2 linked regions of the Oryza sativa Japonica Group genome follow. Each later gene encodes a partner of the first gene's protein in a complex. Links are inferred from orthologs where the notes say so. Each region holds a gene or a part of one and is shown on either strand. Other genes may lie near its edges.

Region 1 (3,987 bases):
ATTGCCTGAATCATCAAGACTCGTTAGTACTGGTGGTAATAATAACAAATTAAAGTAGCATACTTTTTCAAAAAAATAAAAAATAAAAACAGTAAGTGAATTCAGTTGTGGTGTCTTAAGGATGCCCTTGATCCCCACTTTGGAAGTTTAAACGAATGCCTTCTACCAATGTACTGTTATCCCAATAGTTCATTTGTGTACGATTCTAGTACAGTTATGAACACAAACAGCAATATCAGACAATATTGGCATGAGTATATCAGAGCTTGTCCCCCATGGCCAGAGTTTCTATGATTCTATCAGTGATCCTTCTTGGTTATAAAGTAGTAGAGAAAATCATTTGAACATTACAGTTGCAACCAATCAAGCTTGCTTGTTCATACAACCAGTAGTCCTTCTAGAGTACTATTAGTTCACATTTTAGCATTGCGGTCGACAGTTGTTTTATAAAAGTGTACAGCCATTCCATAAATACAATGAATCTGATATATTCCAGAAAAATATTGGCAATACCCTGTATACTCAGAAGACACAGAAGCTTGACTTGAGAACCTTAAGCCAATAGAGAGAATGTTTTCAATTATATGGTGCATATGGAACACAGAGATATTTAAGCCATACATTAACTCACTAAAATAAAATTAAGTTGCTATCAATTGATATAATAACAAAGGGATAAATTCACTGTTTTTAGTGATAGGAAGAAAGAGCTGGAATAACTCAGTAAAGCAGTACATGAAGTTGAAAAGCCATACATGTTTTCGCGTGCCAATGAGAGGATATGAGTAATTACTTTGTCATGAAGAAGATGCCCAATGAGCTCTATAGTTATCACATTATTCATCTTCTGTAACTTGTCAATTTTGTCTATTCTTTGTTCAGAGAAAGTTCCATCAAATGCACTCACATCATCTGATCTAGTTGGCCAATGAGCTTTCTTATCCGGTATCAACTCTAACAGGCCTTCGTCATCTAATGCAGCATCAACCAACTGCCATAACATGCAAAGGGTAAATTCAACAACAAAAACCCCTGGTTCGCATGTTGAAAAGCCAAATATCTTTGAGAGACCAAGGTTATCATCTATTAATTGCATGATCCTGCGGAAATATGAGAAGGTGTCATGAAACTTTGCATTTAGAAGACAACTAAAGGAATGATAAGTTGCAGACAGAATGACAGATACCTACACAAGGCATAAACATAGGATGCTAACAGAACAGACATGTCACAAGAAACAAACTCTTTAAAAACTAACATGAAAGAACTATATGCGAGTTGAAAACATATAAAGTGACACCTTAACCAATTCAACCGAAAATATTATGTATCACTGCAGAACTGGCCCTTTCAACCAGGTGAAATTCTTCCTTTGCAAATTGTTGCTCTTTGGAACAGATCTTGATATGTCCAGTATGCAGATGCAATAAGGTGGTCTAGATGTATTGTGGTAGACACCCAAAACTCTAATTGTCAGCATATCGTATTAAAATTCCCGTCTTATATAATTCTTTTGAACAGTACTGAATCGTTCAGAATGATGTACATGTTCCTGTGATGTATATTTCGAAACCTCTGAACATAGAATGCGTGCATTATGAAACTACTGGGAACACCTCATAGAAGGAAACCTCACTTTTTGAAATTCGCCGCTTTCATCTGAAAAGCAAAATTGAATCCATGTCTCCGCAAGAGCTCCAGATAAAGTCTATATGCAGTTGGCCTTGTGAACCGGTGAGGAATGACCCTGAATGGAGAGAAACCATCAACGGAATATTTGCAATCAGTCTTATATTCTATTTTATAGAACATTCCACAGCAGCATAGCAGATATTGAAAATGTGCACGGATTTCGCCAGTTGGTTATACGATTACTGCTGAAAAGCACATTTCAAACTGCACTTGTTATTCCAACTAGCATGATCTAGACTCTAGAGAGAAGAAAAAAAGTGAAAAAAATGAAACAGAGTATTCTGCTGCTATACATGTATTAAATTGATCTGCATTACACTGCACACTCGAGTACTCTACATACACTGCCATTCATATACTTCTCAAATTTATGGGTATTACGCACAGTAAGCACGCCACCATCCCTTTTCCTTCTCAAATTTACAGGGCCCAAAACATCAGATTGTTTATGATCATGTACAGGCCACGCTGTAGAACAACTTGCATTTGTGGTAATCTGGTTGCGAGGGAAATCTCATAGATCGAAACTAGTAGCCTGATCCGATCGCGATTGCGCGGATTCCATCAGACAGTACACCCCACGTGAGCAGGAGCCCATGTCAGATACCACGCACGCAAATTCGTCTCTCCCCGCGCGCGCGCACAAACGCCACTGCGCGCGCGTGGGGGGAGGGCAATGGATGGGAGCGGGGGCGCCGCGCCGTCCGTACCTGGTGGAGAGGATCGCGAGGAGCAGCGCCGGCGACGCGAGGCCCGCGGCGAGCGCTGCCTCGGCGTACTTCCACGCCGCGCCGCCACCGCCATACAGCAGCGCGCGGGCGAGCATCTCGGCGAGCCCGGGCGACCACGGCGCGTCCCCGGCGGCGGCGACGACGGAGGCCACCCGCGCGGCCCACTCCGCGGGCGGGCGCGACTCCGCCTGGGCCGCCTTGGTGTACTCCGCGGCCCAGTCCACCCACGCCGCCGCCGCCGAGGGCGCCGCCATGCTGGACTACTCGCCGCCGCGTGCCGTGGCCAGCCTTCCTCGCCGTCGCCGTCGTCGTCGCCGCAGGCGTCGCGGGGGTGGGGAGTGGAGTGGGAGGGACGAAGCGTGGGATGTTTGTTTGGTGGGAAGGAGGAAGAGAGAGAGAGAGAGAGAGAGATGGTGGTGGTGGTGCGCGTTGGTGTAACCACTTCGCCCACTGCATCACCACCAGGCACCAACACGAGGTGGTCCCAGCCCGCCGGATCCTCTGCTCCGCCTCACCCACCTCATCTATCTTGTGTGCGTGTAGGCGTGTAGCCATACCTATTCTAATTCAAGGAATAAGAGGAGCCTACGCGTCGGGCGACCGATGGGTTTGGAGAAAAATCGGACGCTGACATCAGTATGACGCATGCGTGCAAAACTACTTTAAACTAATTTTTCTCTTAAATTATTTATCCAAATCATGATTTCACCATTAAATTCGTTGCAATTAAATCTTCAAAACAAGATCACACACATAGATATATTCCGATGAAAAAAAATTTAGCTTATTATTGAATTATTTTAAAATGTTGCACGATATTCTACCAAGTATATCGGAATTTTTTCACTAAGAGATCGAAAATGTTTCAATAGTTTAAGTCGGGCGTTGTTTCACCTTATATAAAAATAATGTTTCAGCAAATAGTGAAAGAATGTTTCAGTTCACTGCGACATTAGATCTATACACAGTGGAATATTGTGGGTATAAAAGGTAAAACATTCTTCGTGGAAAAAAATGAAATGTATTCCCTTAATAGAGTGTTTCCAAAATATATAGGTGATTTGTTGCAATGGAGTATGTGATAGAGATAAGTGGCAGGTGGGGGTAGAGACGTGGTGGGGCCCAGGGCAGTGCGCGTCGTGGGAGGAGGGAGCGCCCGATTTTTCTCCCTCCCCTGAGCGACCGATTCCTAGCATTCCCCTAAGGAATATCAAAGTCGTGTTCTTTTAGGATGTGTTCGGTATCTCTGATTCCCAACCGGAACAGTACGCACAGAAAACAGAGCAGTCCATTAGCGCGTGATTAATTAAGTATTAGCTTTTTTTCAAAAATAGATTAATTTATTTTTTAAGTAACTTTTATATAGAAACTTTTTTTAAAAAATACACCGTTTAGAAGTTTGAAAAGCGTGCGCACGGAACACGAGGTAGAGGGGTTGGGAACTCTGAACAAAGAACACAGCAAGCTTTTCCAACTTATACCCTATCATTTTCCATGTGTATACTTTTAGCTAATACTTAATTAATCATGTGTAAATCTACCACTCCATTTAGCGTGTTCGATG
Region 2 (4,139 bases), on another chromosome or scaffold:
CACATTCATTTTGAACTGTTAAGCAAACTAATCCTGTAGGTCAATAGGCACAAATGAAGATTTCCTCAGGGAAAAAAACTAAGAAAAATGCATTACCATTGTGCATTTCACATTCAAATGCAAGGAGTTTATGTTACACATTTGCAATGCAAGAAATAGTCTGGCTCATTGCATTATCAATGGACCATAATGAATTCCAATGGTAATAACTTTAATAATTTCATAAACATGATCTACCAAGAAATAATTTAAATAGTATCATCAGAAGTTTACCTGCTGCAGAAGCATTGTTGGGAGGTCCTCCAAGTCACAATTGTAGCTATTTACCAAATATCCATCGGAGGGCTTCCCAGTCAATGATCCAGCAATGCTTGGGGAGCCTTCACCCATTAGACTAATTTGGCTATCTTTCACGATCACCTTAGTATTGAACTGTGACCTGGATTTGTACTTAAGTTCATGGTTATCAGAAGGCTTTGCAATCCGATCTGCAGCAAGGATAGGCTGAGGAACTTTCAAGCATAGAGACCAGGAGGAAGTTCGAGAATGCCAAGTAGGAAGAGAACGCAAATGGAGATATGGAACCCTGCTGACCTGCAATACAGAAAGGAAATTTAAATAATGATCTACATGCAAATATGTAGCATCAACAAGCTTATAGGAGCTATACCACACTCTCAAGCTCCACGAGTACTTTGTTAGAAAATATCCTGTGAGCCACTGTCAAGCAGAAATGACCTAGCAGGCCATAATCATCACCTGCAACCTGAGCAGGACTTTGGTAGCGACCAATGTTAAGGGATTTCTCCCTGACCTTCCTAAGAATGTTCTCATGAAACAATTGTAGCAAGTAAATTTCCAGACTTCTGGGATTAGGAAACCCTGTCACGTCTTTTCTTAAAGGGTCCAGCTTCCCATTCATAGTGACCAACACAAGATTTGAGGCATCCTCTGAATTGGCATGGTCTTCATGGTCTACCATTTCTGAGTCACTACCATCTCCAGAATGAGCAAGCGAGAGGCACAATGAACATTCCTGACCAATAGCTAATTGGAGAAAATCTTCACGCATTCCAGTCACATTGATGCCTTGAGATTGGACAAATGTCTCACGGATCACCATATCAAATACCTACAAAGGCATACACTAAGCTAAGCCACAGAACGATATACATAAATAAATAATGATAAACCCGGGGAGGGAGGGGTGGTGGTGGTGCAAGATGTCATCACATGATATACAATAATTTTCCATGATGCTATAGTTAAAACTTAATTAAGAGCATTCTATACAGGAATTCTTAGCATGCCAAGCAAACACTTAGCTGACCTGCTCCTCAAATATTGACTTGTGGATGTTGCGAAGAATAGAATGTGCATGTTTGATGGATTTATTGACATCATCATTGTCTGTTTCAGAGGAAGTGATGCTTGAGATGCCATCTTTCAGTTTATGACCGTAGTTTTCCACACCATTGGCACTGTCCCCTCGAAAATTAAGACTCAAGAAACGGCAAGATTTTTGAGGGACTTGTACGGACAAAGTGCCTGATGAGTCTTGGTCAATTGGAATCAATGGTAATGATGACAGTCGAGGCATTGCTGCTGTGTCCAATTGAGAAGTGTCGATCAGATCAAACATGAAGCCCTCACTTCCTGGACCACTTCCACCAAACCGTTGCCGCTTCACTTTCCAGTTCTGCTGCAATCTGCCACCAATCCGCGAGTAATTCATGGTGCAAACTTGGGTGAAGTGGTATTGAAATAACAACTCAAGTTAAGCAACAAGACATGCCTGATTAATGAGCCATAGAACCTAGACTCTTTTTGGAACTGCTGCTCCATTGTTTTGGCAGATTGTTTGAAGTAGCGTGACAAATGCTGCGAGGACACAAATGAAGATCACAACAGGAAGCATGATAGATGCAAGACGGAAGAGGAAAGTGGCAAGCGATTACAGAAACAAATTGAGTTTGTTTTAGGTTCCATTTTGTTCCTTAGCCGTGAATTGAAGTAATCAAACATAGGCAGTAGGGTGACATACCCGAACGCGCTGAAGCTTGGTGGCTGCAGAGACTGCGGTGTCAACTAAGGTTTCGGTTGGCAGCGATTTGGGCTTGAGCATCCCAGCGACTGCCACTGCATCATTGGCTTCGACCTGCATTATCAAGTAGGATTGTCTCCTCTGTCAGGAATACAAACAATCGCATGCAAATAGAATGGGGTTTGCAGTATTGTGTGTGGGAAAACTGACAGTGGAGATGAGGTCAATGACGACGGAGAGCTCCTGCTGCGCCTGCTGCAGGCTCTCCATCATGCCCTGCCACGGCCATGCCTGCTGCTGCTGCTGCTGGGCGGTGTCCTTCTTGGGCTTCTTGGCGTCCTTGTCGATGACCCAGGAGAAGTCGATGCGGCGGATGGCGGAGAGGCGCTGCTCCTCGCTGCTGGTGTCGCTGCGGAATCCGAATCTCAGTGAACGGAGAGAGGTGGGGGTTAGGGTTTCAGGGGAAGGGAAGAGGTTGGTTTGGTTTGGTGCTTACGGCGGGTAGTGCTCGTTGCCGGCCTCGTCGATGGCGTGGAGGCGCTTGATGGGGAGCTTGTCGAGGTCCACCCGCACGGCTTCCTCCATGGCGAAGGCGAGGCAGCGGCGGCGGAGGGCTTAATTAGATCGGAGACAATTTTTTGAGTGAAGGAGGCACTGCCTTGGGGCTCACGAGTCCCGCTCAAGAGCGGAAGGGATCCCCCCGCGGGAAGCAGAAGCGGCGGCCGGCGGGGTGGGGGCGGCCGCCGGCGAGGTCGTCGGGCGGCGGAGTGAGGAGGAGCGAATTCTCGATCGAGTTTGGGTGCTGGACTTTGGAGTTTCTTCTCTGGAAGAGAGTATGATGGGCCTTTTTTGACTTTGGGCCGGCCTAACAAGTAAATGTTGCTGGGCTGGCCTGGACCAGTTCCAGACTTCCACTACTCCGAATGGGCCGGAGTTTCTTTTTTTATTTTCCATTTCTCAAGGCCCCTCGGGAGCAGGAATTATCTCCTAGCAATGGTAAAACGAAGGCTTATATCAGAGAGCTTTTTCTTATCAATGCCTACAAGACAACAAGGCCTGTTCTTCTGTTGTTCGTCCATGGATCACAAGTTTCAGGGAACAAAACTCTCTTTGGTGCCGGTGGCAATGATATTCCAAACTCAACCGCAAGTTGTGATCAATCTGCAACGTATCAGGGACGACGGATATTTCACAAAATAAGTAGTAGTATGTCGATTCTTCAGTCCAGCTTCTGAATTCCAGGCCTTTTGAAGTTGAGCAAGCAAGTAAATTCAGATAATCTCTCTGCAAACCAACTATACAGTGAGTGACTGAATTTCTACTTGCGCGGATCGATGTGCCAGAGCATTGCCAATCACAGAAACAAGTTGCAGATGAGATTGTCATACTAGCTTACAATCAATGCCACCATCCGCTCAAAACTCACAGCAATCAATCACAACCTGAAGAAACAATGAGGACAAACCACTGTCCACCGGATCGAGTTGGCAAAACCTGGACGACCAAGGGGGTTCGGAGAATAAAACTCCGACCCCTATTCATGAAAAAGAAAAGCACCGCAAACAATTCGTATCATAATTCTTGCAGGTAACACCGTAACACCATAAGTTTGAGAGAAATGCGCCAAATACAACAAATTTGGCGATTTGTTTGTTTTCTCTTTTTCAAAGGTAGCATATAGATTTGCCTTGATAATAGTATCAACAGATGCAGCGCTATAACCATATATACTCCATTTCTTCTCCATTCCCTTGCTTCATTGATTTATGACATACTCAGAAAGACTAAAATAAGCATCAATTTCACACTTCACAGGCCTGTTGTTCACAACTACTGAGCTGCTGTGTTATTGTATTGCTACTAATCAATACCAGCATCTCTTTAGAAAAATCATTAGCGATACACAGCTTACATTTTATTGGATATCACTGTCATTGTATCACATCCACTCCTCCCAGATCAACATATGCAATCATCATGCCTATGCCAGTTTTTTGCATGGTAAATTCTACTACTACCAGTGGCCCAGTGCCATGTGATGTCAACCCCAACAGCTTTGTATATTATTACCCCTTATTATAAACGCATCATACTC

The links. Proteins that work in one complex are often made in the same cells at the same time.
Region 2: mediator of RNA polymerase II transcription subunit 33A (region 1) and mediator of RNA polymerase II transcription subunit 17 share a complex: the UniProt entries of both Arabidopsis thaliana proteins name them as parts of the mediator complex. The link is inferred for Oryza sativa Japonica Group from reciprocal best matches to the Arabidopsis thaliana genes RFR1 and AT5G20170.

What each region holds. Positions count from the first base shown.
Region 1 is NC_089041.1:6,111,362-6,115,348, reverse strand, and holds the start of mediator of RNA polymerase II transcription subunit 33A, read right to left. Parts: upstream 2,801-3,987; 5' UTR 2,678-2,800; coding exon 2,403-2,677; intron 1,748-2,402; coding exon 1,637-1,747; intron 1,101-1,636; coding exon 756-1,100; intron 6-755; coding exon 1-5. UniProt on the Arabidopsis thaliana protein: Component of the Mediator complex, a coactivator involved in the regulated transcription of nearly all RNA polymerase II-dependent genes.
Region 2 is NC_089046.1:28,095,922-28,100,060, reverse strand, and holds the start of mediator of RNA polymerase II transcription subunit 17, read right to left. Parts: upstream 2,836-4,139; 5' UTR 2,630-2,835; coding exon 2,541-2,629; intron 2,454-2,540; coding exon 2,255-2,453; intron 2,159-2,254; coding exon 2,045-2,158; intron 1,882-2,044; coding exon 1,796-1,881; intron 1,710-1,795; coding exon 1,331-1,709; intron 1,133-1,330; coding exon 671-1,132; intron 595-670; coding exon 274-594; intron 1-273. UniProt on the Arabidopsis thaliana protein: Component of the Mediator complex, a coactivator involved in the regulated transcription of nearly all RNA polymerase II-dependent genes.